4 linked regions of the Alligator mississippiensis genome follow. The protein of the gene in region 1 purifies or fractionates together with the protein of each later gene. This does not show direct contact. Links are inferred from orthologs where the notes say so. Each region holds a gene or a part of one and is shown in the gene's direction. Other genes may lie near its edges. The genes, in order: MED19, MED9, POLR2K and MED12L.

What was found.
Region 2: the proteins of MED19 (region 1) and MED9 purify together in Homo sapiens (affinity purification with mass spectrometry; 6 studies listed by BioGRID and IntAct, counting the BioPlex papers as one, with this or other methods). This does not show direct contact. The link is inferred for Alligator mississippiensis from reciprocal best matches to the Homo sapiens genes MED19 and MED9.
Region 3: the proteins of MED19 (region 1) and POLR2K purify together in Homo sapiens (affinity purification with mass spectrometry; 3 studies listed by BioGRID and IntAct, with this or other methods). This does not show direct contact. The link is inferred for Alligator mississippiensis from reciprocal best matches to the Homo sapiens genes MED19 and POLR2K.
Region 4: the proteins of MED19 (region 1) and MED12L purify together in Homo sapiens (affinity purification with mass spectrometry; 3 studies listed by BioGRID and IntAct, counting the BioPlex papers as one, with this or other methods). This does not show direct contact. The link is inferred for Alligator mississippiensis from reciprocal best matches to the Homo sapiens genes MED19 and MED12L.

The regions. Positions count from the first base shown.
Region 1 is NC_081825.1:172,521,249-172,528,709, forward strand, and holds MED19 (mediator of RNA polymerase II transcription subunit 19), read left to right. Parts: upstream 1-4,456; 5' UTR 4,457-4,525; coding exon 4,526-4,760; intron 4,761-5,176; coding exon 5,177-5,433; intron 5,434-5,567; coding exon 5,568-5,664; intron 5,665-5,804; coding exon 5,805-5,899; intron 5,900-6,936; coding exon 6,937-7,005; 3' UTR 7,006-7,335; downstream 7,336-7,461. Other genes in the region: TMX2 (thioredoxin-related transmembrane protein 2), read right to left, coding at 758-834, 1,767-1,880, 3,075-3,135, 3,968-4,156. UniProt on the Homo sapiens protein: Component of the Mediator complex, a coactivator involved in the regulated transcription of nearly all RNA polymerase II-dependent genes.
Region 2 is NC_081836.1:54,494,350-54,501,820, forward strand, and holds the start of MED9 (mediator of RNA polymerase II transcription subunit 9), read left to right. Parts: upstream 1-4,457; 5' UTR 4,458-4,472; coding exon 4,473-4,648; intron 4,649-7,471.
Region 3 is NC_081826.1:38,817,570-38,825,304, reverse strand, and holds the start of POLR2K (DNA-directed RNA polymerases I, II, and III subunit RPABC4), read left to right. Parts: upstream 1-4,731; 5' UTR 4,732-4,833; intron 4,834-4,969; exon of another isoform or gene 4,970-5,070; intron 5,071-6,163; 5' UTR 6,164-6,195; coding exon 6,196-6,256; intron 6,257-7,735. UniProt on the Homo sapiens protein: DNA-dependent RNA polymerase catalyzes the transcription of DNA into RNA using the four ribonucleoside triphosphates as substrates.
Region 4 is NC_081830.1:62,144,109-62,151,283, forward strand, and holds the start of MED12L (mediator of RNA polymerase II transcription subunit 12-like protein), read left to right. Parts: upstream 1-4,175; 5' UTR 4,176-4,345; coding exon 4,346-4,444; intron 4,445-7,175. UniProt on the Homo sapiens protein: May be a component of the Mediator complex, a coactivator involved in the regulated transcription of nearly all RNA polymerase II-dependent genes.

The DNA.
Region 1 (7,461 bases):
TCAGCAGTGGGAGTGTGGTAGCAGTAGGCGGTGAGCTCCCGCAGGCAGCTGTGGCACTGTCAGCGGCAAGGGGGTGGGCAAGCGCCGACCATGGTCGGCAACCACCCACAGGCAGCACTGGCAGCATCAGTGGCAGCCAGCGGCGATCAGGGACCATCTGCAGATGCCACTGGCAGTGTCGATGGGAGGGGAGGAGAAAGCAGCAACTGCCCACAGGTGGCACCGGCAGTGTTGGCAGCGCCTTTCACAGGGGCTGCACCGCCTAGATAGGGGGTCCTTGTGCACCTGTGTGCACCCCCTATGTGTTGCCAATGCACCCTACAGTTAAACACCCTTAAACTCATCCTTGGCAGCAGGCCTGTTGACCCCTAGAAGCTCTCCTAAGCATGGCTCCCATCCCCCAAAGCATTCACCACAGTATTGCAGGATCTTGTCTGCTAGCACCCAGCTTCCAGATGTTCTGTGTGTTACTTCCTAGCTTTACTGCCTATCATCATAGCCAAGCACAGGAGAGACAGGTGGTGGACAGGCAATTCCTAGAAGAGCTCCACTGGCATGCTGCCCACTACCCGTCTCTCCTTTTGTGCTTGGCGTGTATATGACAAAGCAATGTAAACAGAGACGAACAACTTATGTGGTAGGGGTAGATAACGGTGACCCTCTAAACAGCAGTACAGATCTACTGCAAGCCAACCCAGCCTATACGCACTTCATGGCTTGGAGAACAGGGGGAGGCAGGGAAGCAGGAAATACTCACATCAATGGTTTTGTCACTGAAATACTTGATGTACTCAGGGCCCATGTAGAGGGGGGGCTTGCAGGTCATCAGAAACACTAGAAAGGCATACACATGGCATACACATCATGAATGGGCCAACTCTGTACAAGCCTCCACCCCAGGAGCAATTTGCTCAGTCTTTGCACTGTTCAAAGCTGGAGGGTGCTGGACCTGTCATACTGGAGCACGAATTGGGGAAGTGGCAGCAGCCAACCCTGGTGAGGCTGGTTTAAAAGCATCCTGCTTTTGAGCCAAGTGGCAGCACCTCCACCTGGCACTTAACATCAACTGGAATCAAAACACATTTCATGATAGGGAAACTGAGGCACAGATGGTGGAGGAGCTGTGCCCAAGCTCACCAAGCAGGGACAGTGGCACAGCAAGGAACAGAAGAAAAGAGGTCCCAAGTCCTAGCCACTTTGCTATGCACCAGAAAGAGCTGCCACCCTACGTCCTGAATTCTGCATAATGGGCAGGCTGGCAGCGGTTATGCTGCATGTGCAGTGCCTGGTGCAATAGGCACTATCTTGGGCTGGAGCCAGTTGGTGCCACTATAATTCAGACAATATTAGCAAGCAAGTCCACTGATAGGGGCAAAGGGCTGATATGGAAGGAGTGGATGCCCTCTGGGGCAGCCACTGCTCCAATGCAGACAGAATAAAAGCGGGAAGACTTCATCAAGAGGATGATGTTTGGTCCAAAGATGGATCACGGATGACACTTAAACCTAAAGCAATGCTGTCACATGCCCTCTCTGCCCCTGCAGAGAGGAGAGGCAGGACAGCCCCATAATGGCCGGGAGCTGGACCCAGACATTTTAACTCCCCATCCCATCTGCATCCCTGGGACAGCCCAGCCCTACTGAACCAGCCACCACAGCAACAACCAAGGAATGGGCTGACAGGCAGAGGGACTTTGTCCAGAGGCCACAGTTCAGACTTCTCTCAAAGAAGGCATTTCAGAAGCCCCAATGGGACCTGGGTCTCACCTATGCACAGCGTGAGGTACAGCAGCCCCATGCGGATGTCCAGCCGGAAGAAGAGGATTGCATTGGCCACTTTGCTGAACATGAAGATGTTCCCTATGTGCTGCTCGATGGTGACTGGGGGGAGACAGAAAGGCAGGGGTCAGCAGGAGGGCCAGGCACTCATCCCTGGATACCAGAAAGCCAAGAAGCTTGAAGGAGAAACAGTAGTATTGCACCCATTAGCCAAGTTCCTTTCCATTCAGACCCAATATTTATTGTCCCATCACCTCCCTAAACCTCACCCCATAGTTTAGGGATATAAACATCCTTTAAAACAAAACAAACAAAAAACCCTATCCATTTAACCTTCTCTAATTATATTGGTTAAATGGTTAACACAGGGGTGGGCAAAATGCGGCCTGCCAGGCCATTCTATCTGGCCCATGGGGTCCCTAAAAAATTTAGAAAATTAATATTTATCTGCCCCAGCTTCCTGTCATGCAGCCATCAATAGCTTGCCCAAACTCAGCAAGCAGCCCTACGCCCAAGATAATTGCCTGCCCCTGGGTTAATCGATAACATAACAATTGTAACACAACTGCTGCTGGGAGCTGTGCCCACAGCTAGACAACGGGCTCCCAAGGGAGGTGGTGCTGTCCCCTACCCTGGGGGTCTTCAAGAGGAGGTTAGATGAGTATCTAGCTGGGGTCATCTAGACCCAGCACTCTTTCCTGCTTATGCAGGGGGTCGGACTCGATGATCTACTGAGGTCCCTTCCGATCCTAACATCTACGAATCTATGAATAACCCACATGAAGTCCCCTGTGAAGGAAGAGGTAATTGCTTAATTGACGAGTTGAGTTATTAGACTACCTGCTGTTTTTCTGGTTAGCCTCATGGGCTAAGGATACTAGTTCCCCTCACCTGCCCTTCCTGCTGGGGCAGTGGAAGCTTCCCTTCCCTGCCAGATTGTACCCGGCCCTGTGCTAAACAATAACCAGTAAGCCAATTAGTTATCACTGGGCTTATTGGTTAAACAATTAATCATTTAACCTTTCACATCCCTACCACAAACTGACCCCCCCCCCCCACACAATTCCTCCACAACTTCTCCTGTGCCCTCTGACCACATGCTCTGGGCCTGCCCGCCCTCCTTCCCCAAGCAGTTCCACAGACCAGTCCTGGGGGCATGAAGTGGAGACCCAGCCATCCCACAGGCATCCAGAGGAAATCGCCCACCCCAAGGGCAGCACAGGGAGTCAGCCCCATGCCAAGGAGGCTCCTGCCCCAGGAAGAGGAGCTGCAAGGAGGGAAACAGGAGACACTCACTGGATCTGCGGTTCTTCATCATCACAATGGCACTGAGGAACATCAGGATCTCCACCTCCCGCTGAAAGAGACTGTGGAGTGAGCATGGGGCTGGGACATGGCAGCAGGGGGCTGGGGGCAAATGCAGGGATGAACCAACAGAGCACAGGCCTGGGGGCACCTGTGGAGGGCACGGAGGTGGTGTACTGGGCCAAACTAACACAGCACAGGATATACGACATGCAGAGAGCACTCGCACAGGATGGAGGGGAGTTCTGGTGTGAACCAGTACAGCACAGGACTGTAGGCATCTAGGCCAGCAGTTCCCAAACTGACAGATTGCATGCCACCAATTTAAAATGATACAACCTTAAGTACCCCCAGCAAATTTCAGTACCACCGGCAGATTTCTGTCCTACAAAGCAATGATAATAAATCTGGTAACAGGTGCCATGGACAGGTTGGCTGCATACCACTGGTGGTACCTGTACCACAGATTGGGAATCGCTTTCCTAGGCTGAACCATCCCAGGTGAAGGGAGAGGAGGAAGGAGGGGCATCAGGCTGAACCAATGCAACCCAGGGGTCCTGGGCAGACCGCCCTGCACGGAAAAGGGGGCCAGCCGCAAGCATCAACCGGGACAAGCTCCGCCTGGAGGGACCCAGCACAGGCTGACACGCACACGACCTGGTGCCAGCAGCACATGCCACCGGCGTCCACTGGAGGCAGCGATCACACCTGGCTCCGGCCTTATCTGGCGTGCAGGTCTCAGCCCGCCGGCACCTGCCCCATTGTGGCACGCAGCCGCCCGCAGCCCCGGTCTGCTCCGGGGCAAGGCGGACACCCCGCCGCGAGGCGCGGCACGGCACGGCACGGCCCGGGCTGAGCGGGGCCTGCCCGCGCCCCGCACGCACCCAGTCGAAGTCGCAGGCGTTGCCGTCCTCGCGCTGCGTGGGCAGCCCCTGGCATAGCGGCGGCACCTTGCGAGCCAGCAGGAAGGCGGTGGAGAGCAGCGCCGAGAGCAGATAGTAGGGCCGAGCCAGCCAGCGGCACAGGCCAGGCACGGAGCACAACAGCGCCAGCAGCGGCGCCACCACCGCCATCTTCACCTCCGCTGGGGCGCCGGGGGGCGGGGCGGGGCACTGAGCCACGCATTGGCCAGCGCCGCCGCCAGTCACCTGCCATCCCTCCTCCTATTGGGTAGCGCGGGCTCGGGGCGGCGGGACTTCGCTGTCAGGGGGCGAATCGGGTGCTGGGCCACGGGTGGCGCCATCAAAACGCGCCGGAGAAGCACCAGTAGGACCCCAGCAGGGGGTGGAGCCGAGCGCAGCGACACGCCCCACGCGATGGGCAGGGCGCAGGCTCATCCAGCGAGCAGGCGCGAGGCGGAGCTTGGGCAGTTTTTATCCAGTCAGGGAGGGGTACGGGGCCTCCCACCACTCCAATGGGCAGAACCCCAAGCCGCTAGGCCAATGGGAGGAGACCGCGCAGGGCAGGCTGGGATGATGGAGAATTTCTCGGCGCTCTTCGGCGGAGCTGAGCCGCAGCCTCCCGCTGCGGCCGCCGCGCTGGGCTTCGGGCCGGGGAAGCCAGCAGGGCCCGGGAGCGCGCCTCCCCCCACCGCCGCGGCGCCGCAAAGCGGAGAAGACCACTCTCGCAAGACCGCGGCCTCCAGTGGCCCCTTCTATCTGATGCGCGAGCTCCCAGGTAGAGGGCGGGGCTCGCGGCAGGTAGCCAATCCGGGGCCGTCAGGCGGGCTGAGGCGCAGCAGCCAATCCGGGTGCTCCGATGGTTGGCTGGGCAGGCCGGCCGGCCTATCACCGCATCTAGCGGCGGTTTCGTCCACGGGGCGGGGCGCTCCTTGCGTGAGGGAGAGGGCGGGCGTTCTGTATTTTTTGTGACTGACAGCCAGTGACCGAGGAGGAGGGCGTGTGGGTGGGGAAACAGCCTCTTACCCGATGAAAGGCCGCCGCGGCACTGGGGTCCTTCCTTGGGAGGGGGCGGTTCCTACGGACTCGGGTCTGTTGCCGGTTCCCCCCGGCGGCGGCCGCCGCCTGCCTGTGGTGGGTGGCATGGGCCGGTCAGGCCTCGCCTCGGCTGCGACGGGCACCCTCGGCCCACAGGCAACACGGAGCTGACGGGCAGCACCAACCTGATCACGCACTACAACCTGGAGCACGCCTACAACAAGTTCTGTGGCAAGAAGGTGAAGGAGAAGCTGAGCAACTTCCTGCCCGACCTGCCGGGTATGATCGACCTGCCTGGCTCCCACGACAACAGCAGCCTGCGCTCCCTCATCGAGAAGCCACCCATCTGCAGCAGCTCCTTCACCCCCCTTACTGGCACCATGCTCACGGGCTTCCGCCTGCACGCTGGCCCGGTGAGCCGCCCTACCCTGGGCAGGGGTGGGCATGTGGCCGGGGAGCAGGGCTGGGAGAGCGATGTGGGCTTGTCTTGCCCCGCCCCGTGGGAGCGGGAACTCCCCGAGCTGACCCGGTCCTGGTGTCTCCTCAGTTGCCAGAGCAGTGCCGCCTGATGCACATCCAGCCACCCAAGAAGAAAAACAAACACAAACACAAGCAAAGCCGCACTCAGGATCCTGTGCCCCCAGGTAAGGGCTGCAGCTCACAACCCCACCTGCCTGTGTGAGAAAGCAGCAGCCCATCCACCCCAGTTGTCTTCTGAAAAGGTCAGGCCCTGCCTGGACAGGTAACTAGCCTGTCAAACCTCAAACTGTGGCTCTTCTTGCAGAAACCCCTTCAGACTCTGACCACAAGAAGAAGAAGAAGAAAAAGGAGGAGGATCCAGAGCGGAAGAGGAAGAAGAAAGAGAAGAAGAAAAAAAAGGTGAGTGGCAAACTAAGAGAGGGGCTGGGGGTGCACTGGCTCCACTCCACATGTCCGTGCCCAGCTGTGCTTGCCGTGCTGGGGTGGGACAGAGCTGCAAATCTGTCTAGCCTAGTGATTCTCAACCAGGATGTTGTGACAACCTTTCACAGGGTGCCACTGGGAGAGAGGAGATGAGTATGAGCTCTTCTAACTACTTCTCTGCCTTCTTTTGCTCCTGCCCCGACACTCACTGCCAGCTGCTCCTCTTTCTTTGCAAGCCACTAAAATAAACACGTTGGCTTTTGGAAAGAGGTGTTGCTCAATTTGCAGTTGTGGAAGGGTGCCTTGAGCCTAAAAATGTTGGGGACAGTTAGTCTAGCCCCTTCCCTGTGACCTGTTTTGCTCGGGAGTCTCCGTCCTGGCATAAAGCCCCTTTGTAGGGGTCTGACTTAAAGGCTGAGGAGGCTCCAGCAAGAAACAGTGTTTCCCATCTGGATCTGGCTGAAAATAAGCTCCTTCCCCTTCCTCATTCCTCTGCACAAATGGAAGCACAAAAACCCAACAAACTGAATTAGAAAATACAGCTGTGGGCAGTGGTGGAGAGAAGAATTGGTAGTTCTGGCTGCCTCATATTTCCATTTTATTCTTTATTTTCCATGCACCCTGGTCTCCTGCTGTGAGGAAGCAGTAGTGCATCCTGGAAATTGTAGTGTTACCAGAGGTCTTATAGGAGGATAGGAACATGGGCTGTACTTCCATGGTCTCCTATAGGGCCCTGTAGCAGCATTTTTAAACATCTCCCTCCCCAACCCTCAAATGTTTTCCATGAAAGTGAACTTCATGGGGAGAACTGGAGTTATAATCCCAGTTTTTAATGAGAAGACTGCTTGGGTCCCTTCTGACCCTACCAACTATGAAATTATGACTGTTTGTTTTTAAAGGAAAAAAATCTTCCTCCAGCTTCAGGGCTAAGCTATCATAGTCCACTGGTAACCTGTACAGTCTCACTGTGGATTCTCAGGGAAGGGTGTCTGTGTCTTGTCTGTTCTTCCTAGAACCGTCACAGCCCAGAGCACCCAGGAGTGGGGAGCTCGCAAGCCAGCAGCAGCAGCAGCCTCCGGTGAGGGCAAGCACGACCCCAGTGCTAAAGTGGCTCTGGGAAGATGCCTGCTGCAGATGTGGGTGACTGGGAGAACAGTCCTGGAGGCAACACTGACTGAACTCTTCTCCCAAAGCGGCTTATTGGAGGGCACTTGGGCTGCCTTGCCTGGGGGCACAGACTGTCCAGACACAAGCCGGCTGGGAACATGGACTGAAATGGAGATGGTACACAACCTGCTGCCCTGACCCAGAGCCAGGCCCAACTTTTTCCTTTTTTTTTTAAATACTCCTGACTAAGTCAGGTGCTTTCTCCTTTTTATTCCTGTTTTAATTAAATCTCTGCTTGGGAAGAGGCTGAGGGCCATGTCTGACAGTGGTCTGAGCCATGCTGCTGTTATCTGATCTGCAGGACTAGGAGATGTCAGCAGGGTCAGGCAACACACCTGCCTGGCTGAGACTGCTAGGGAACCCTGCAGTGG
Region 2 (7,471 bases), on another chromosome or scaffold:
CCCCCTCTCTTCTTTATCTTTCCCTACAGAAACCCAGGTTGGAAGGAACCTGCAGGGCCAACTCCCTGTGAAGATGCAAGGGATTTCCTAACCTTGTTCTGTTCCTAACCCCAACAGACAGGTGCCAACCTAGTATCCTCTTAAGAGCCTCCAGTGAAGGAGATGCCAAAGCGTCCCCAGGCAGCTTGTCCCATTGTCTGGCTGATCTTGCAGTCAGGAGGTTTGTCCTCAGATCTGATCTCATTTAAAGCACTGCCCCGGGGCCTGGCCTCTGCAGCTGTGGGGCACTGTGGAGCAACCTGCACTACTTTGCTCTCACACCCGTGGCAGCCCGTGGTTGTTTCTCAGTGTGCATTACAAAGTCGTCTGGGTCACACCACCTCCTCCCTGCATGGCTCAGCCATCCCTGTCCCGCTGCCTCCTTGGAGAAAAACCTGCTATGCAGTTCCCAGCACACCTGTGGGCTGCACAGTCCTTAACATGCATGCTCCAGGGGTCCCTGAATGCGACATGTGTCCTCCATGCCACAGCATGGGTGTCTTGGATGACTGGCTCTGTACTCACCCATGGGCAGAAATTGCTTGTGTGCCTAGCATGCTCTGAGTCCCCAGCATAGCACCTATGGCACACGTGGCAGAAGGGATTTGCATTGAAGTACAAGAGTTCGTGGATGCTCGTGTAACATGTTCTCATTGGAAGGATTTCAATTTGACAAGGAGAGCTGCTGTAGTGTTTTGGAAGGCTCTGGCTGGCCGGCCCCTGCTGTTTTCATGCCTGTTAAACATTAAACCAAAGTTATTTCTTTATGATCCTGGCTATGAAAGACCTCTGAAAGAGCGCGGAGCTTCTCGTGTTCTCCTGAGACCAAACCCTGGGGGGCTGGGGATACTCTACTCCCCCCTCCCCCATGCATTCTTGCAGCCGGCCATCCAAAAGCAGCTCTCTGAAGGACTGAGCTTCCAGGTCTATAAAGTGAGTTGTCAGCCTGGTTTATCACTGTGAACTGGGAAGTACCGGGTACATGAACCCGCTGAATTCTTGGGAAATGACTTCAGTGATGGATTACTCAGTTCCCTTTGACAACCTGGTCTCTGGACCCATTTCCCTCTCCTGGTTTAGAAGCTCTCTTTCTAGTCTGATCCAGGTGCCATGTAGACATACAAGGGGGAAAACATCACAGACTTGCAAAATGAAGAAGCATGAGATAGGAAGGGTCCAACTCCCGCAGGGGACTGTAAGACTTTAAAAGCTCTGTGAACTTTTACTTCTTTATTATCCCTGCCTTTTCATGGCTGCCCCTTAGGGAAACTGGGGACAGAAATACCAAAATACCATCAGGATAGTGGGTAAGACGGGTATTTCTAGTCCCATCAGAAGCTGGGGATATCAGAAACCACATGAAAATGCCTGCTGTAGGGGCATTACGAACTGTGAGTAACAGTCTCCAGAAACCCAAGCCTGTTCCATTCAAAGTCAGCAAGAGTTTTATCATGGACTTAAATGGAAGCAGGATCAGCCCCAGAATCCAGAAAAACGTCTGGAAGACGAACGCTGAGTAAATGAATGCCATATCTGCATTTTTTTAGGCTTAGGCCAGCACCACAGATGAATGATCTCTAAACATAGCCCAATAAGATAACAAACAGGATGATTCTGGGGCAGCGAGACAAGATAAAGTTCAACATGATGATGGGCATATAATAAAAGTCATCATGGCATTGATGTGGGCAGCCAAAGCAAGCCAGCGAGGGTAGGCAACGAAAGTGGGGCAAGCCACAAAAGGAATTGACTGATGATGAATTAAAAGACTAATGGCAAATCCAAAGACAAAGCAAGCTCTGAAACTAGGTCTCATTTGGAGGCGAGGGGGAGCAATTTATAATGGCACGACAGAAAGAGAAGTCATATTAATAATGTAAAAGGAAATAAAAGGGGTAATCATGGAGGAGGCTAAAGATAAGGATTATTTGGTCAGCTGGTCTTGGGGAAAATAGGTTAACTAACCCTTTGGCAGAGAAATTAGTTTGTTTGATGGTTATAAGATGTGAAGGATCAGGCAGCTTTGAGACATTTTAAAGTCTCGGGACTTGGAGGATGGCAAACAAAGTTATATGGAGAAAAACCGTGGCATCGTCAACTGCATGTCAATGCCATTAGCACAACCAGGGTGCAGTGACCTTCTGCAATCCACCCCGCTGCAATCTCTTGCCTGGGCTGAAGGCAGGGTAGAAATACATCTTAGGACTAACTAAATTTGAGACGCATGAGCTGCTATGAGCTGTTATAACTTTGCTAGCCAAGCCCTTTGCTAGTATTGTTGCTAGCTCCCGTTTTTTTTGTTGATGAACCAAAAGCATCTGCAAAGCTCTGGGCGGAGGGATGCAGGAGCCCACATGCCAAGTTTAGTCCCCAAACTGTCTTGTGCTTAGGCAGGTTGTGTGAGCTGCTGACCTGCTGTCCGACCCGGAGCTGGAGAGACCACTGAAGGCAGCTAAAATAGCAGTTTAGCCCCTATGGTCCTTTCAACCTCCCATCGAACTGGCTGCTCAGTGAAGCCTAGCCCTGGAGATGCTTTGTGGTCCATGTCCCATATCCGATCTTTCCCCTGAGACATCCAGCCCCACCGTTCATGGCACATTGTAGCCAGACAAAACTTCTGCCAGCTGATGGTTCATCCAGGAAGGGGCCCAGAGGGCACAAGTCAACCGCAGTAGGGACAGGAGTGAATGTCAAGGCCTTACAGAGGTCTGAGCTGAGACCTATGGAGTAGCTGGTGTTACCCCCCTGTAGGGAAGTCAGTGGGACTCAAGACCAAGACCAGCCAGTGAGACCAAACGGCTGCATCTCTCTGAGCTCGGCACAGGGAGACCCCACAGCACGGAGACCTCCACGTCTGCACAGGGTTTCTGAGATGAGTCCTAAAGGAGAAAGCGCAGAGGGTAATTCAAACTGCACAAATAGATCAAAAGCCCTGTGCTCCTTAATTAAATTGGGGGGTTGTGTATGTGCACATCATCAAATGCTCCATTGATTGTCTGACTATGCGTTTATCAAAACTGAGCTATCAACTTTCTTAATATAGCTTCTTTGCCATTAGCTACAGGGCTCAGGAAAACAAGCACTAGATTCAAAGCACTGCAGTACCCAGGACAACACGCCCAGATGCCACCCTCTGAAATTCAGCGTGGCCCTTTGAAATACCCCGAAATGAGGTCACCAAACTACTTCTCAAATGCAAGGAAACAGATATAGCCATCGTTTGTTTTCCAGCCAGCATCAAAAGTCCCTTAGTTTAGCCGCTTGATTTAAAAAATGCAAAGGAGCACTGGGATTGTGTTGGTGAAAGGAGCCTAGCATGGCCAAACTCTTGCTGGATGAGTGCCTAAACACCTGAGAACATCCGGGTCTCGAGGCCGCCCCGCCCCGTCCCATCCCATCCCGCAAAGCCCTTAAGCCACCTCGGTGGACTCAAGGTGCCTCTTGGAAAATGCCAGCTCTCAGCTTTCACTTGGTTTTTTGTCTCTGGAAAAATAACAGAGCAATTCTTCTGTTGCAAAGAACTCAGACTATTTCTGGCACTTGGGATTCCTATTTGAAATGTCTGGGTTTATCTTGTGAACCACTTGCAGGTTGTCGATGCCTCTCCCACCCAAAGTTTAAAACCATCTCCCTGGCTGTGGCAGTCTGGGCTGCGGGAGTCGCTCGACTTCAGGCTCGCTCTCATCTACCAGATCCCTGCTAAACTCTTCATTTGACCCTCTCTTCTTTGGATGATTTTGATGTCCAGCCAATCAAGGCAGCCTTTGTTCTGCAATCCTGCAGCTTGTTAGCTGTTCCTGGGCAGGGAGCTCCTATTTCACAGCTGTGCCCATCGTTTTAAACCCATTCCAGTGAAGTGACATGTTTTTGCTTGACTCTTGAACTGAACAGCACAGCCCTGGGGCCCTAGAAAAATGAGTAAAGCTTCTGTGGACGTTGCGCAACCCCCCTGCAAGGATGGCGCACCCCCAGTTGAGAGCCAGAGAGCTGCTCTGGCGGAGCACTGGGCTCACACGAGCTCAGGGGTCCGACAAAGCCCCGCTCCCTGCCCAGACATGGATGGGCACTGCTGGGGTGCAGCCCCCATTCCCAGGCCCAGGCCCCCGCTCCCGCAGCAGCTTGGCTGGGCGCCTCCTGCAGAGCTGCCCGCGCGGCTGCACCGAGCCCGGGGGGAGGGGGGGGCTCTGCAATGCAGTGCGCTGCACGGCGCCCCCGCGATGCAAAGATGCGTGCACTGCACGGCTGCGCCAAGCCCTGGGGGCTCTGCAGGGCGAGGACGCATTTGCAGCAAGGCGCGCCGAGGCCCTGCAGTGCAGTGTAGTGCAGTGCCGTGCCGCGCAGAGCTGCGCCCGCCCCCGGCTGACGCGCAATAGCGGGGCCGGCGCACACACGTGCATTGGCGGCGCCGCGCGGGGCGGGGAGGGGGGGCCGCCATGGCGAGCGGGGCGGCCGCGCGGCCCGCGGAGGAGCCCCCGGCCCCGGCGCCGCCGCCCGCCGAGCCCCCGCCTGAGCAGAAGCCCGCGCTGCCGCTCCCGGCCCCGGCGCCGCCGCCGCCCCCGGGCCGCGAGGAGTTCTCCTTCCTGCCGCTCGTGCACGGCGTCATCAAGTGGTAATCGCCCTCCCGCCGGGCACGGGGGGGGGCTCCCCCGCCAGATGTGCACCCCTCCCGCTCTGCATTGGGGCACCCGGGCCAGCTGTGCACCCCTCCCGCTGTGCACCAGGGCACCCTTCCAGCTGTGCACCCCTCCCGCTGTGCACCCCTCCCGCTGTGCACCCCTCCCGCTGTGCACCAGGGCACCCTTCCAGCTGTGCACCCCTCCCGCTGTGCACCCCTCCCGCTGTGCACCAGGGCACCCTTCCAGCTGTGCACCCCTCCCGCTGTGCACCCCTCCCGCTGTGCACCAGGGCATCCTTCCAGCTGTGCACCCCTCCCGCTGTGCACCAGGGCACCCTTCCAGCTGTGCACCCCTCCCGCTGTGCACCCCTCCCGCTGTGCACCAGGGCACCCTTCCAGCTGTGCACCCCTCCCGCTGTGCACCAGGGCACCCTTCCAGCTGTGCACCCCTCCCGCTGTGCACCCCTCCCGCTGTGCACCAGGGCACCCTTCCAGCTGTGCACCCCTCCCGCTGTGCACCCCTCCCGCTGTGCACCAGGGCACCCTTCCAGCTGTGCACCCCTCCCGCTGTGCACCAGGGCACCCTTCCAGCTGTGCACCCCTCCCGCTGTGCACCCCTCCCACTGTGCACCAGGGCACCCTTCCAGCTGTGCACCCCTCCCGCTGTGCACCAGGGCACCCTTCCAGCTGTGCACCCTTCCAGCTGTGCACCCCTTCCGCTGTGCACTGGGGCTCCAGTCCTCATCCCTCCCCTAGAGTGACCCCGGGGATCACCCCAGTGCCCCTTTCCAGCAGGATGTGTTCGGGGCGGGCAGGGGGCACCGTGCCACCCCAGGTCACAGCCCTGGCTCGGCTGGGCACCTCCCTCCGGTGAAGAGACAGCTCGGCCCCCCTTGATATCCCAGCCTTCGTGGCCTGGAGAGCGGGCTGGCCTCTGTGGCCGTCCAGTGGGGTGGCCTGCTACGACCTCCAGTCCTCCAGGGCCAGCACTGGCTCCCAGTAGCTTTCCAGGCACGATTCAAGATGCTGGTTTGGACCAACACAGCCTGGGCCCGACGTAGCAAAGGGGCCGCGGTCTCCCTTGCACCCCAGCGTGGTCTCCGAGGTCAGCCAAGAGCAACCTCCTGGCACCGTGGGGGCTGAGCTCTGCATCTCCTCCCCTCCGGGCCTGCCCAAGCCCGAGCCCGAGCCGGGGCATCTGGTGGAAATGATGCGGGACCATTTTTAATGGGGCAGCTGTTAGCAGGAAAGGGTTGAATCTTGGGGCAAATACAGCTTATTCTGTTACTTGTCTGAATGTTTTCATAAGCTGCCTTGTCTGTTGGTGTAAGCCCTCCTGAGCCGTTCCCTGCGATGGTGGTATATAAATGAAGTGGTTCCAAGGGATCCCTTCACCCTCCAAGGTGCAGAGAGATCACTAGTGATCTCCTTAATATCCCTGCCTGGAGATCACTCAGGATTTCCCTTGCTCTCCCTCCTGGCCTACCCTCCCTTGCACGGGGACCTGGAGGACTTGGCTGCCCGCAGAGGCGATCTGATCCAGTCCATCCGCGTGTCCCGATGGCTCCAGGCTCCAGGGTCTGTGCCCCAAGCCTCAGCTCACAGCTTGGCTGGTACACGGCCCGTGAAGCCGTATCTGGAGGCTCCCTGGCTGACCTGTGTTCGTCGAGGGGGGCCGTCCAGGCCATTCTCCGTGGCTCTGTGAAGGGGCCATTGTCCCATCTCACAGGTGACGTAGAACAAGGAAATTGCAGGGCCGAATGGGAGGTGGACTCATTCCTGGAAAGGTGAGCGAGGTATATTCCTGATGCATTCATTTCCCCAGGTCTTTTTGCCCCATTAGCCAGAAGAGATGGCTAATGGGGCAAACCTTGATCTCATCGGGTCCCGGTCCAGATTTTCAGGGAAAGCATGTGGCAAGCTGGCAGATCCCCCACCTGACTCATGCCGAGAAACAGGCCTGGTTTCATCACAATTGGGTGCTTAGGTCAGGCCTGTTCTCTGGCTGAACCAGGCCTGATCACTGCACCCGTTGTCCTCGGCCGCGTTCCTTTGCATTTACGTTGCCTGCAATTGTTCCAGTGGAGAGCAGGCTCCAGAAAGCACAGACAGTCCCAGCTCAGGAATGCGTCCCTGGGGCCCGGGCTGGTACAGACGGACGAGGACGGGGTCATGGCTGGGGTCGGGCTCCCTTCTCTCGGACTCCAGAGCGGTGTATAGATGCAGGCTTTGGCCCCGAGGGTCCTTGTTACTCTTGGATGGTGGCTGGCCCTGGCATCCTCCTTGCAGTGCAGCCTGTGGGTGTTCACGCCTGGCTGGGCAGCCCTGGCACAGAAGTTGTGCATGTAGACACAGAGCAGGGAGTACCGAGGGCAGCATTGCCAGCTCTCGAACGCAGCCCCACTCAGGTGCTTTACACCGGTGTCAGCGGGGACCTGTGTACTCCCCATGCAATACATCATGGGCCTGATCTTCCCTTACGTGATCGCTTCTTCCCACCCTTCCTGCAGCACAAAGGAGCCCTAATATGGCCAGGTAGGGGGCTGGTGTGTAAAAGAGTCGCGCCCTCTTGGTTTCGTGCTGACGGGCAGCTTGGCCTCAGACACGTCGCACAGGTAGAGAGTCCCAGCCCCAAAGACTTTACAGTCTGAAGGCAGCACAGGGCAGAGCCTTACTTGCTCGCAGTCTGGACATTGTGGGACAAGGGTGCTCCAGGCTGGCTCTCGCAGAGCAGGGGACGCTGTTTGCCATCACGTGGCAAAGGACCGGAGACGGGCATGGGAGAAGGAATCAAATTAAGGGTCATCTTTGCCCTCC
Region 3 (7,735 bases), on another chromosome or scaffold:
ATTTTGTAGGGTTCTGTACACATCATTTGTAGTAAAAGTATATTTGGGCCTGAGAATGAGAGAGCAATTGGTATTTTTTCACCATAGTTTAAATGGCTGCAGATATGGTAAACATTTACGTTGTTGAAAAATGAACTTTTTTATAACAAAACCAATCGTGGCACTGAAAACACATAATTATTTCTTTGTATCTTTGTTTTAATGAATATAGGAGCATATAGTAAGACCTACAAGAAAAAAGTATTTACCTTAAGCTCTATCAGGCCTAGAATATACACTCTTGAACTTCTGAAAATAAAAAAAAGTTCAGGCAAAGGAGACCACTCCTCTCTGGGTTAAAATTCTCTGGTCATGTGACAATGTCTGAGTCATCTGATTGTTTTCCTCAGGATATGTAGATTAGTTCAGGTAGTTAAATATGTAGCAGAATTGCTGCTTTGGTGTTTGTTTGTTTTTTAATTAAATACTTACAAAAAAATTGTGCAAGTTTACGTTCAATAAAGGCTTTTCTCTTCTCTTTCCAAAATGAATAATGTTAGTGGCCCAGTGTTCACTGCTTTCTTGATCTCTCTCTGTGTTTTATCTTCAGTGGGCCCCATGCTGTTAGGAATAACAATACAAAGACTGCTGGTACTGGCATGCTTGCCCCATTGCTGGGGACTGGTTTGGCCCCTGTAGCAGGCAAACTGAGTTATGCTCAGACTCTTAGCATAACTTTAGGCCTTTCTAGAACTAATTAATTAAATTACAGAGTGCTTACAGAGTGACTGGGAAAAGTGAGTGCTGTGATTGGTACGGTGGGCTAACCAGGTACAGTTTCCCTATAAGGAATGTGCTTGGCACAGTGCCAGTGGAATGATTGGCGCACACACCCAGCAGAGGATCTTAAGTCAGTACCCCCGAAGGTTGCTGTTGTAATGTCTAAAGAAACTGCTTACCAAGTCGTATTAGAGGGAGGAAACTTGTAATAAATAATTACACCTATGACTTAGTGGGGCTAACAGAGACCTGGTGGGATTCATCCCATGACTGGGCGGTACATATTGAGGGCTATAGATTGTACAGAAAGGACAGGTCGGGGAAGAAAGGGGGGGGGGGTTGCACTTTATGTCAGTGAGCAATATACATCAACCCTCATCAAGACAGAATCTGAGGTTGAGGAAGTAGAAGGATTGTGGGTTAGGCTACATGGGGGGCAGGGAGAAAGGGATTTGGTGGTAGGGGTCTGCTACAGACCCCCACACCAAGGGGAAGAAATAGATGCGGGGCTCCTGAGGCAACTCTCAGAGACCATAAAAGCTAAAGAGGCAGTAGTCATGGGGGACCTAAACTACCCGGACATCTAATGGGAGACGCAGACAGCAAGGTCCCATCGCTCACGCAGGTTTCTAACCTGTATACAGGACCTCCACCTGACACAGGAGGTGCATGGTCCCACTAGGGGGAATGCCATACTGGATCTGGTATTGGCAACAGGGGATGACATGATAGGGGACCTCCAGATCGGTAGCCATTTGGGAGACAGTGATCACCTAATAATAGAATTCAACATAAGACGGCGAGTGGGTAAGGTAACTAGTAGGGTGAAAGTGCTAGACTTTAGGAAAGCTGATCTCAATGCACTCAGGCAATTAGTCAAGGAAGCACTGCAGAGTAGGAGTTTTGAAGTGATGGGAGCCCAAGAAGGGTGGCTGTGCCTTAAGGAAACGATCCTTCAGGCACAAAGCAAGACGATCCCCGAGCAAGGCAAAAGAGGGAAAGGGGCCAGGAGGCTTCCCTGGCTGACCACAGAAATCCAGGGCAGCCTAAGGGCCAAAAGGGGAGCACATAAAAAGTGGAAACAGGGTGAGATCACTAAAGATGAATATACCTCCTCTGCTCGTGCTTGTAGGGAGGCAGTTAGGCGGGCCAAAGCTACCATGGAGCTGAGGATGGCAACCCAAGTAAAAGACAACAAGAAATTGTTTTATAGATATATTGGGAGTAAAAGGAAGGCCCAGGGAGGAATAGGACCCCTGCTAAATGGGCAGAAACAATTGGTGATGGACAGGGGGGACAAGGCTGAACTCCTCAACGAGTTCTTTGCCTCAGTGTTCCTAAGTGAGGGGCACAACAAGTCTCTCACTGGGGTTGTAGAGAGGCAGCAGCAAGGCGCCAGACTTCCATACGTAGATCCTGAGGTGGTGCAGAGTCATTTGGAAGAACTGGATGCCTTTAAATCGGCAGGCCCGGATGGGCTCCATCCGAGGGTGCTGAAGGCACTGGCCGACATCATTGCAGAGCCACTGGCAGGAATATTCGAACGTTCATGGCGCACGGGCCAAGTCCCAGAGGACTGGAAAAGGGCTAATGTGGTCCCCATTTTCAAAAAGGGGAGGAAGGAGGACCCGGGCAACTATAGGCCAGTCAGTCTCACCTCCATCCTTGGTAAAGTCTTTGAAAAAATTATCAAGGCTCACATTTGTGAGAGCCCGGCAGGGCAAATTATGCTGAGGGGAAACCAGCACGGGTTTGTGGCGGGCAGATCGTGCCTGACCAATCTAGTCTCTTTCTATGACCAGGTTACGAAACGCCTGGACACAGGAGGAGGGGTGGATGTCGTATACTTAGACTTCAGGAAGGCCTTCGATACGGTATCCCACCCCATACTGGTGAACAAGTATTCACCAAGGCGCCCCAGGGGGTTACAAGAAACAATGGCCACAAGCTAGCAGAGAGCAGATTTAGATTGGACATTAGGAAGAACTTCTTCACAGTTCGAGTGGCCAAGGTCTGGAACGGGCTCCCAAGGGAGGTGGTGCTCTCCCCTACCCTGGGGGTCTTCAAGAGGAGGTTAGATGAGTATCTAGCTGGGGTCATCTAGACCCAGCACTCTTTCCTGCTTATGCAGGGGGTCGGACTCGATGATCTACTGAGGTCCCTTCCGACCCTAACATCTATGAATCTATGAATAGAGATTGCTATTGAAGTTCACTAGACACCACGTCGGATGAGCTGCTGCGTTAATCCTTGGAGGGCTCTGACAAAAAGAATCCTAGGGTTATCATCCCCCAAGACTGGTTCCTAACCTTTTTAGAGTCAAGGCACCCTTTCTTAGACTCAAAGCACCCCTCAGAAAATGTCAGCTCTTAGTTTTCACTGTTTTTTCCACCAGAGGGATATAATAAGCAACTTTTCTGTTGCGGTGAATTCAGAAAGCCCACAACAGGTCAGGATGTATTTAACACTATGGATTCCTATTTGAAATCTCTGGATTTATCTTGTGAATCATATTTGCACATTTCACAGCGCTAACACACAGTGGCAGCCTTGAAAAGATCTCAAGGCAGCCAAGGCACCATTGTTGAGCATCACCAGTCTATAGCGTGGCGCTTGCAATCACACCACAGGTGCTTTCTCTATGACTTTGCTGTAAAAGGTACTTAGGTGCTCATTTGGGTTGGGGATTTATTCATACAAATTCTATGAATGCAGATTTTCCTACACGCATCGGTTCCACTGTATTCTTTTTTCCACTCAGAAACTGTATCTCGCTAAATTAATGGAGAAGCCCTGTAGAAGGGCACTTTGCATCCAAATGCTGGTCTAACATCTTTTTGAACTATACAGTTAGTCCAATAAAACGTATCACCAAAAAACTTTGTTTCTCACATATTTCCTATACCAGCAAGTCTATAACACTCCAACTCTACTACTAAATTATGGGGAATTTCTAACTACACTGCTATTTCCCCATTTCTGTGGCCTAAACCAATCCTTCTATATAAACTAGAATGCCTGTGTTAGTATGCTTATAAAATTAATGTTATTGTACTGTATAGGACCCAGGAAAGAGAACTGAGATACTCAACTCCTTAGCTCAATTTTTTCCTTTTGAACAATTAAAGGTTCAGTCTTGGTTAAATGCACAGTGATCTTTGCTTTTAATATTGAAAGCTTGGTAAATCCTCTAGTGCAGGGATTCCCAGACTGTGGTATGTATGTGTAGCCTGGGGTAGGGGGGATATGGAGAAATTGTGTAATGGCAGATTTAATTTTCATTATAATTGGCATTTAAGGGGTTAAAATATAAAACATGCTGGTACAGCTATGCAGGCAGCTGGTAAATCTGGAAGCGGGGGCACAATAAGAAAAAGTTTGCAACCCCCCCACTGTAGTAGGAACACTACTATAACAATGGCATGGGCACAACTGGTACCAAATAATGAACCCCCACAGTAGTAATGGCTTATTTACAGCTTACTTCAAGGCAGTACAATAAAATGAACAATACAGTTGATATATAACAATAACATGTATATAATTTGCTAAAAACATACAGTGAAAGTAATAATTCTACCAGTTTACTGCAGAACCCCATACACCAAAAAAGCTCAGGAGCCAGCCCCTCCATCAGTGATCTGTGGGCTGGAAAGGACCTCAAGAGTCTTCTAGTTACTCTCTTCCCCCGCCCCCAAATAACTTGCACTTGTTGATTCGCATTAAATAACACGCGTGGGGGCTCTTTCTGGTTGCATTCTGGACCTTTAGGGCGCTCTTGTTTCCTGCGCCAAGCCTTTCTCCACACCCCGGAGTACTACAACCTGACTTTAAAATCGAATTGAAGGAAGGAAGCCGAGGCTCTCAGAAGCGGGGCCGCAGAAAGGCCTGGCTGTCACGAGCCGCGGGACCCGGGCGGGCTGCTCGGAGAAGCAGACAGCGGGGCGCCGGAGCCCTCCGCAAGCACGCGGCCGCGCGGGGACCGGGCAGGCGCGGCGGTGGCTCCTCCCCGGCAGCGGCCGGAAGCTGCCGTGAGGCCTCATTCATCGCTGTCAGGACGGGGCAGCGGCGGAGGTAGGGCATGGGCTGTCTCCCCTCCTTGGCGGCAGGCGCCTGCTGCGCTCTGGCCCTTCCGCGTCCCCGCTGCAGCGGTGGCGCCGCCCGAGGCCTCCCGCCTCCCCCTCCCCGCGCGTGGGGCTGCCAGGGCAGGACTGGCTCGTCCCTGCCCCGCGCCGCCGCGTGCTCAGAGGCACCGCCGGGAAGGCCCAGGGGGTGGGGAAGGGGGCGCCTTTGAGGAGGATGTGACCGAAGGTTGGTCTTGGAGATGGCGCCTGCCCCCGGCCAGCGGAGGGTTGTTCGGGGGAGGGGGCCCTGTTGGCACCTTGTTGTCCTGTAACGTCCTGGGTTTTTGGTCTATTGGCGGCCCTTCCCAGCTGCTCTGTACTCTTACTCCAGCTCTGTGTGTAGTTAAATGTTCCCTGGGGTGGGAGGGTCAACCTTTTGGCAGGCCTGCCATGCAGCCTCCCCAGGTTGCCACTCTGATCCCCCTCCTCTGCTCTGCTTTCTGTTCCAGGCTATGCTCCCTTGTTCTGCTGCCCTGCTTCCTTCCCTCTGCTCACTGCATGAGTTGTTGCTTTGCTTTCTGCTCCCTGCCCTATCTGCTGTGCCTGGCACACAGAGGCTGCCCATGCCACTTGTGGCACCTGTGCCACGGGTTGGCCACCCCTGCTTTAGAGAGTGGTGTTTCTGTGTTCACGTATCTTCTGTATGCTAGGGTATCGCTGCCTGCATTCCCTCAGAGTATCGGGGTGTCAGAGTGGTAGACTGGAAACGTGGATCCCCACACTGGTGATGATGCATGATTGTATTGTGAGAAAAGCTTCAGTATAGCTATAGGTTAGATTGCAGTGGCAAAACCTGGCCTACAACAATATTGCCTGTGGTTTGTGACCTGCTTGTTTGACCCAGGTATGTTATGTTTGCAGGTGTTTTGCTTTTTAGCAATATTTGTATAGGTGCATTGTGGAAAGGGAGAAGAGCTTTTGCCTTGTGCTTCAGCAGGGAGTAAGCATCCGGAGGAGAGGTACACAGAGCAGCATTATCGCTGCGAGATGCCTAAGGTTGTCCTGCTCCGTGATAGACAAAAACCCAACCAAACAGCAATTTGAGCCAGTTACAAAAAAATAGCTTCACGCTAGCCTGGATTTCATACAGGATTGGAAAACTGGCAGCAAACCATGTTCTGGTTTCTAATTGGGTAGAAATGGTGATAGACACGTTTGGCTCCCATGATGCATGTGTGCATGATCTGAAATGTGGAGTAGGAAGGGTCTAGATTCCCTGTACAGAAAATAAGGTTATGCTGTCTGTTTTCTCCCCTTTTTTTTTTTTTTTGATAAACCAGGTTTCTTACATTTGGCTTTTTAGTGACAGAGGATGGATTCTCAAAAGGATGTTCAGCCACCAAAGCAGCAGCCAATGATTTATATCTGTGGAGGTAAGAGTGAAAACAAATGTTTCAGTAATATCTGATGCACATAAGAACAGTCCCTTACTGGTTGAAAAAAGTTAACATTCTCTGAATAGTTTTCTATTTACCAGGATCATTTTGGGAAGTGGTGGTGCATCCCCCAGAGGGAACATGCATTTCCCCAAGGGCAAACAGCAGTGGCAGGGGAACACCTGCAAGTGTGGGGCGTGTGGTGTCTGTGGCACTGCATACTGTACAGCTGCACTCGTCTGGATGCATCTGTTTAGTTCTCTTGATGCAAGGCACAAGATTGCACATTTTGGTCTTCTTGTTAAGTGTTTATAATAATCTGTTTATAGGGAATAGGTGTTGGCATAAAAGATGGCTTTATAAGGATTGCTGTAAGGCTAAAGATTAATTGAAGCCTTGAAGAAATACATGTCCAAAAAGAATAAATTTAGTTTCCAACAGATGAAGAAGATTAAAATAATTTATTATTAAATTATTATTATTACATTTATTATTAAAAACCCTAATAGAAAGAAGAAATAATATCAAATGAGGCTATGGGAGGACTTTGTAACTGCAGGGAATAATAATAATAATAGCCACTTTTTTGGAAAGTTATAGCCAAGGGGTTATAACTATAACAATTGAGTTTAATTCCTGATGCTTATCTTTCTGAACGTATGTGAACATCACTTGTATTAAAAAAAATAAGTTCAACAATTTAACTTGCAGTTGATGAGGAAAGTGATGGTTACCTGGTGAATACAAGCAGATTATTAACTGGACTCTGAGGCTGCTTGCAGGCATTAAAGAAATACAAAAAAAATCAATGTTTTACTTTGAACTCCTCATGTCCCTACACCAAGCTCGGTGCATGTCCAGAAGAGGTAACGCGTTAGTTGGACCTAGCTCGCCCAGTGTCTTTATAGATTGGGTGCTTTAGTGGGGGGGGTTTGGCACTGTTGTCTAATAGCTGATTGAATGTTAGATAAAAACGCCAGAAAGACCTGATGAAGCACCCAGTCTATATCCATGCTGCAGAGCTGGGATGAAGTAATGTGCTGCTACTTCTGCATGCTTTGTTTTGTTTTTGTCTTTTTTTAAAACATCTGCAAGCAGCCTGAATGCCAAGTAAAATTATAGTAATGAGTAATGGAAAGGGCCCCAGTCTTAATCCCCCCCCCCCAGAAATTGCCAAGGAATTCTGACAAAAAACGTAATAGTATTATTTTAGGAAGTATTGGAATGAAACTATAATAGTTCTAACTTTTAAAAATGGTGATGAGAGAGATCCTATAGTATATCATCCTGTTAATTTTATGTATATTCCAGCAAAAATATTTAGACAGTGTTATTTTTTCACCCCACCTACAGAGGTGGGGCAGGGGCAGGAAGCAGAAGCTAGAGAAGTAATGGGAGACTGGAGATCCCACCCCAGCAGCAGCTGGAGTGTTGGGTTGTGGGGGAAGTGTCCAGGTTGGAGTCTGCAGGCAGCCA
Region 4 (7,175 bases), on another chromosome or scaffold:
AGGCTGATGGGCCTATAGTTAGCCGGATCCACTTTCCTCCCTTTCTTGAAGATAGGCACCACATTGGCCTTCTTCCAGTCTTCGGGCACTACACCAGAGCACCAAGAGTTTTCAAAGATCCGCGCTAGAGGCTGGGCTATGATGCTCGCCAGCTCCTTGAGTACCCTGGGGTGAAGATTGTCAGGGCCGGCTGACTTGAAGGTATCCAGCTTCTCAAGATGTTCCTTCACGAAGTCAGCATTAATGGAGGGCAGGGGATCACCCTCACCCGGACTTCCCTGTCCCGTAGTGGGCATGGGCGTCCCATGGGGCTGATGAAAGACTGACGCAAAGTACCTATTTAATAGGTTGGCTTTTTCCTGGGCGTCAGTTGTCAGTTGCCCCATCTGGTTCAGCAGGGGTCCAACGTTGCCCCTGCTTTTCCTCCGGCTCCCCACATATCTGAAAAAGGACTTTTTATTGTCCTTGATGCTCAAAGCTAGCTGGAGTTCAGTTGCAGCCTTGGCTTTCCTGGTCTGCTCCCTACAGGACCGGACCAGCGCAGAATAATCCTCCTTGCAGGTGACTCCCATCCTCCATCCTTTGTAGGCCTTTCTTTTTAGCCTCAGGAGGTCTGCTAGGTCCCTGGAGAGCCAGGGGGGCTGCTGTGCCCTCTTGCTGCCTTTCCTCCGAGATGGAATAGACTTAGTTTGTGCATTGAGGATCGCTCTCTTGAGGAGCAACCACTCTTCTTGAACTCCCCTCTCCCTGTGGTCACAGTCCCTTAGGACCTCACTGACAAGCCTCCTGAGCTTGTCAAAGTCGGCTTTCCTGAAGTCAAGGACTTGCGTGTTGCTGACTGACTTGCCAGCTTTCGGCGGATGGTGAAGGTGATCAGCTCGTGGTCGCTGTCACCCAGCTTCCCATTGATCGCTCGGTCGCCAGCTAGGTCATCCCCAGTAGCCAGTACCAGGTCGAGCAGTGCTTTGCCTCTCGTTGGCCCATAGACTTCTTGAGTCAGGTAGAGGTCATCCACGCACGAGAGGAAGCTCTGCGACCGCTCAGATTTTGCTGAGCGATCCTCCCACGAGATGTCCATGTTGCACATGGTCTGTCTGTAGTCCTTTACATCAGGGCTGTCCAGCTTCTGGACTGCCAAGGGCTAAAGTATGGTCCACAGATCTGAGGGCCACAGCTTTGTGGGCTGCTTGCCATGCAGGCACCCCCCCCCATGTGTACGGAATCACTTCTCCCCTCACCCACTAGGCACACTGTGTGGACAACGTAGCTCCCTCCTGCCACACAAGTAGCCTCATCCTATCCTCCTGCCTCCCATGCAGGCAGCCTGGCTCCTTCCTCTGCCACATGTGCGATGTTCACAGCTCCTTGGCTCTTTTCCTTGCCATGTGCACAGCATTGTCAGCTTCTTCCCTACCAGACATGTGGTGCAGGCAGCCCAGGCTCATCCTACTGTGCTGCCTGAGGGTAGGAAAGGGATGGGGGTAGGAAAGGGAAACTGGGGGAGGGATGGGGACCCTGGGTGCTACTGCTGCTGCAGCAGCAGTGGGGGGAGCGTTGGCTGTGTAGGAGCCATGGCCAGTTGGATGGCCGTTCTTTTCATCATCAGAATGGGACTGGCTCTCGTCCTGGTTGTTTCAGGTCCAACTCAGGCAGAAGAATGGAAGGGCTGGTAAGAATGGGAGGAAGATTTCCCTTATTATTCCTGTTGGCCTTCACCAGAACGTGATGCCAGCCATGAGGAAGAGGGTGGGAGTTACCAGGCCTATTCTTCTACCCTGTATGCTACTGGATAGCTAGTTGAGAGATGTTTTGGCTTCATAACCTTCTCGTCACTTGTGAGGCATAGGTGTTAGCTGAATGCCCCATGGAAATAGAAAGGTTTCCTGAAAAGAGGTGGAATAACAGAGATCCCTTGATTCCCAGTTTGTCGTCTAGTTTGCCCCTCAAGTGCAACTGTTCACTGCACCTTCCTTCACACTCCATGTAAAGTGACAGTCCAATCCTGTCTGATCACCTCAACACACTCAGGCTCCCCACTAATTGCAGGGAAAAAATTACACTTGTCTATTGTGGCATTTAATACAGTAAACTACAATTGTTTGCTATTTCTACAGGTACAAATCTTGCAGTTCCCACTCAAGCAAAACTCCATTGACTCTGACCATAGTTATTGTAGTAAGGACTTCAATTTTTGGCCCACAATGTGCTTTGTCCTGGGAAATTAAACAGATGCAATTCCGTTTTTTATTGTTATCTCTATGATCTCTGTGTGGGAATACATTTTGAGTCAAGGTTTCATTCTCTGACAAGTGAACAACTGCAATGTACTCTACAGCTGTAGTGAAAGGAAAAATTCTGCTGAAAAGAATCACTACTCTTGGACAGGAGTCATACCTTTGGGATTTAATAATCCAGCTAAATCAAATGGACAAGATCTTCCTCAAGGCTAGAAAATAACTAAGTCTGGCCTGTCTAGGTCTACAATTTGTTTATCAATTTAGTAATACTTTCTGAGCTTTATTTATATAGAATACCATGGAAGAGGAAGGAACTGTGTAGATGTGTTGTGCCACTTCTTTAAAACTATACTGGTGAGGGAAGGTAGGAGTGAGAGCTACAGATTCAAGACAGAGAATGAGACAGGGAAAATACCATTTTACTTATACTAATGAATGGCCAGGTGACTTAATGAGTCTTGTGGTAGTTGTTTACCAGTGTCATGTGACAGAAACAAAGGAAGGGGACCATGCACAACAGCTGAGGAGCTTCTGCCCTGTGCCCCCTTTATCCTTCACTTAATTTCCCCTTCAGGGAGGCAGATCTGCCATGCAACAACTGTGGGCTTTTTTCCAGCACCTACAATGTACAGTGCCAGAGGAGAGGACTGAAAGCTGCTGGCCTCTCTTCAGTTCTTTAAAACACACCTGCCTAGAAGAGCCGATGCAGTAGCCTGTCATGGTCCAGATATAGGATGCAATATGAAAGACGAAGACCTGAAATAGGACTATGCAAAAATCCATCCATCCAAGAAATTTAAGATGGTGTGGGGTTCTTTCCTCTCAAAATCTCAGATTTGAAATTATTTTGGAGATAACTAGACTACAACACAGTGAAAGTGGAGGGACACCACACTAAATTATATAGTTTTGGGGCCAAGTAACATTCCTCAAAATAAGGGGCAGAGGAGAACCTGCAAAGGCACAGGTGGGAAGTCAGTGTGGCTTAGTGGATGGAGTCCTTACAAGACACGGGTTCCAGTCCTGATTTATCTGCATGCTTATCAGAGTCTAGTTGCTTCAATGCCTCGTGTCTCACTTTTCCCATCTATGGAATGGAGTTAGCATTGCTTAAATCAGTTGCAGAGTTTTTTTGAGCTCTAGTGATGGAAAAAAACCCCCTAGGTATTATCCCTAGCTGTTAGCTATGACTTTTTATCACCTCACCTAAATGCACCCACCAAACACAGGAGCTGAGCCACTATGAGTTGCCTACATTTTGAAGAGCTGCTAGTTTTAGTTCTAGTGGAGGTGCTTGGAGATCCTGGCTTGGTTGGGAAGCAGTGGGAGGCAGCCACTTGTATGGCTGCAGCTAGAGCTCCTGCAGATCCCACCTGCTTGTCTGGCAAGCCTCAGCTGCGCTCATCTCCTGTCCCAGTCGGAGGAGCCTTACTCTGCAGGACTCTCCTTGGGGTAGCTGCTGAGGCAGAAGCACTTCGGATATTAAGTGTTTAACTTCCGAAGGGCGGAGGAGCTCTCGTCCTTCAAAAATCCCAGCACCACAGTTTTAATCTCTTCAAAAAAGTTTTGCCTGGGCCTGACCCCCAGGCTTAGGCAATTTGCTGCAATCAGCCCATGTGCCCCATCCTTGGCCGGGGGAGATACCTTCCCTCTCCATGTCGGGACTAATTTGACCCCGGTTGAGTTGAAACCCCTCTCAGGGGAGCAAGGCTCCTGCTCCGCGTTTGTGCAGCAAGCAGGCGACTTAGCAGCACCCCTCCTATGGGGACTGGAGGGAAAGGCAGGGCACTTCTGTAGGAGTAGTAGGACGTGATGCTGAGTGGCTCGGCTGTGACCAGCCTCCCCCTGCTTGGCACTTGTCCTGGCCCGGCAGAGCCCGCAGGGCGGCGGAGGCGGGAGGCTGCGGGGGCCGTGGCGCTGTCCCGGCGCGGGGATGGGGGCTCTGCGCGCGTGCGGGGAGACGGCAGCCTCCAACCTGCGTCTGTCTCCCCCGTAGGAGAGAGAGAGGCAGCCGGAGAGAGGGAGCCTGTCTGCCAAGTGCTGCTCCCTGGTGCTCAGAGCCTGCTCCGTCTCCAACTCATTCATTTTGCCGGCTAACATGAGAGATCATGGCCGCCTTCGGGCTTCTCAGCTATGAGCAGAGACCTCTGAAACGACCCCGGCTGGGACCGCCCGACGTCTACCCCCAGGACCCCAAGCAGAAGGAGGTGAGGCCGGGCCCCGGCGCGCAGGGGCAGGCGCTGGCCGGGCGGGCGGGTGGGCGCGCCGCGGGGCCGGGGGAAGGCGCCTGCCCGCCAGCCCCGAGTGCAAGTGCTGCCGGCTGCCGCCTGGGCCTCGCGCAGCCCCTTCCCCTCCCGCCGCTCCCCGAGCTGAATCCTTTTAAACTTTTGAAAAATGTCGGCTTGCGAGGAAACGCACCCCCCGCCCCTGACTTGCATTTTCTGCAGCCAGCCTGGGGCTCGGGGCTGGGCAGGACCGCTGGGAGCCCGGGCGGCGGGACCGCTGCCTGCTCCGGGGAGAGGAGGGGCAGCTGCCCGGCTGTGCTGCGCCCCTGCTCGCGTCCGCCCTGGCCCGAGCACGGGGAGAGATGGCAGTGCTCAAACTGACAGCGGCGTCTCCGTCTTCATGGAGGCTGTCGTGCTCCAGGCAGGGGAGGTGCATGGCAGGCAGGGATCAGTGTCAGCTGCCGAGCCCAAACCGGGAGGGGTTGGAGGTACCTGGCCCCGGCACTTGGGGTCCCAGCAGCAGGTACGGTCACTGGGGCATTCCCTGGGCAGGCTAGGCTGCAATTAACAAGTCGTTATTTGCAAAATAATTGCTTGTTAAAATTCTCCCCCTCTGTTCAATTTGTCATGGGACTTTTTAATTTTTTTTTAAACTCACCTGCTAGCTAATCATAGGGGTTTTTTTTTTTCCTTATGGGTTAAAGCTAGTCACCTGTAAACCGTTTTGCCTGTGAGACTTTCCTTTTGCTGCTGTGACCTCATCCAAATTGTAGTAATTTGTCCTTGGAGAGATTTAAAAAAACCCCAAAAAACATAACTCTACTCTGAAAAGGACAGGGGAAAAGAGGGATAATCATTATGCATTAATCAGGCAAGGTCACTAAAATAACAGGATCCGAGTCACGGCACCAGGAATTGTCGTGGAAACACACGCAGCCTACTTTTGGGTCAGGTCAGCAGAAGCTTTTATTCAAATGAAACTGCAGCTGTAGGGGGGACCCCAAAGTGACATGGATTTCCCAAGCACTTGGAAGGTGTTCCCTCCCAAGAGCAAAATCAGGAGGCTTATATACTTTTTAACAGTCGCTATAACTCACGTGATCATATAGTGGAGTTTGCTAGAAAAAGCAGCTACAAACATTAGCTCATGACTGCTTTGCTGTTAGCAGGATGGGAATTATGGGGGAGACAAGGTTAGTTCACAAAACAAGAACTAACACTCCCTTCTTGCTCCTGGAAATCAGAGTTTGTACATACTTTTCCAGTTACATTTGTTTTACAAAGTCTGATTAAGTTTTAAGGCCTGCAGTTTTTTTTTTCTTTTGGTTTTCTTAGGTGAAAACTTCAGGGAAGTGTATAGATTTATATTGTGCTATTACAGTAGTTTGGTGGGGTGTGTTTTTCCCCTTTTAAAAGCAAGCTTTAACAAAACCTGCTCTCTAGTTTTACAATTAAAATTAACAATTGCAGTCCCCAAGGCTGCAACTTGCTCTTAGTGCTTGTTGGTATGTTCAAATACTTGCAGGTAATTCATATGGAAAGCAGAGGCTGTTGAAATTAGTCTAAGTAATTTTTAGTTCAAAGGGCATCTCATGTGAGAGTTTAATGTTTAGAAGTATTTTTGTAGCTCTTAAGCAATGATCTCTGAGTGACGTTTCATTCTAAAGGAAAATATTGCTCAGGGGATTCAGAATTTTGAAAAAAATATTTTTCCAAATTTTAGCTAATCAATGGGGAAGGGGCTTTGCACTTTTTGCTTTGAAATATTATCCTAATATTTGATTATGGTCACTATGTTTCTCTTTTCTTGAGTGACATAATGAATGCATGTAGAATTATGGTTAATATCTATATTTAGGGCCAAGAGAGTAATTCAGGATTGGCAATATGTTGATGCTTCTCTGGGAAAAGGAAAAAAATATAGGATGCAGAAATATTGACAGCCAGAGTAATTGATTGTCAGACTTTTCTGTCTCACCCTTATTTCTTTTATGTTCAGAACTTCTCCTTCAAGGCGATTCTTCTGGCAGTTGAAGGCTGGATAAAAGTCTGCCCTTTGTGTCCTGGGTTTTGTAAATCACTTTGTGTAGATCAAACTAAAGTTGAAATAAGTCAAAGAGCATATTTCACTTTTCCGTTGGCTCTGTTTTCAATTTGGATCAGGCTCACAGCACCCTGGTTCGTCATGACAGCACGCTGCAATATATTTTCATTTCCTACTATTTCTGGTCTTAGTGGACAGAGGTATTGTTTCTCTAGCACTCCCAATTCCCACTCTTCACCCACATTATTTTTTTGGTGAAATTAAATGCTTATGAAAGTTGATGGTATAACCTGGGGATGTAGCTTGAGCAGCAGCAATGAAAGCATCACCTACTCTGTAAGTTTCTCCATATTGCTTGACTATCCTGGCACACCGTGTGCACTTCCTTGGGTAGGAGTGGCAGCAGGCATGTCAATTAACGTTAATCTTGATGGTGATTCAAAGACATGCACATGTCCATTCTGAATTAGACTTGGACCACCTGCTAATTCACATGGGTCACCTAAATGGCCATCAGGTGGTACCCTTAGGTCACTGCTGTTTTTGGATGGGGTTGGACTAATGAGAGAAATAGAAGCTGGCTTATCACCAACCCTGTGAGCATCCCTGAATTTCTTATCATTCTTGTTCCCTCCACCCTGTAGGCCATGCGTGTTGTTTACCTACCTG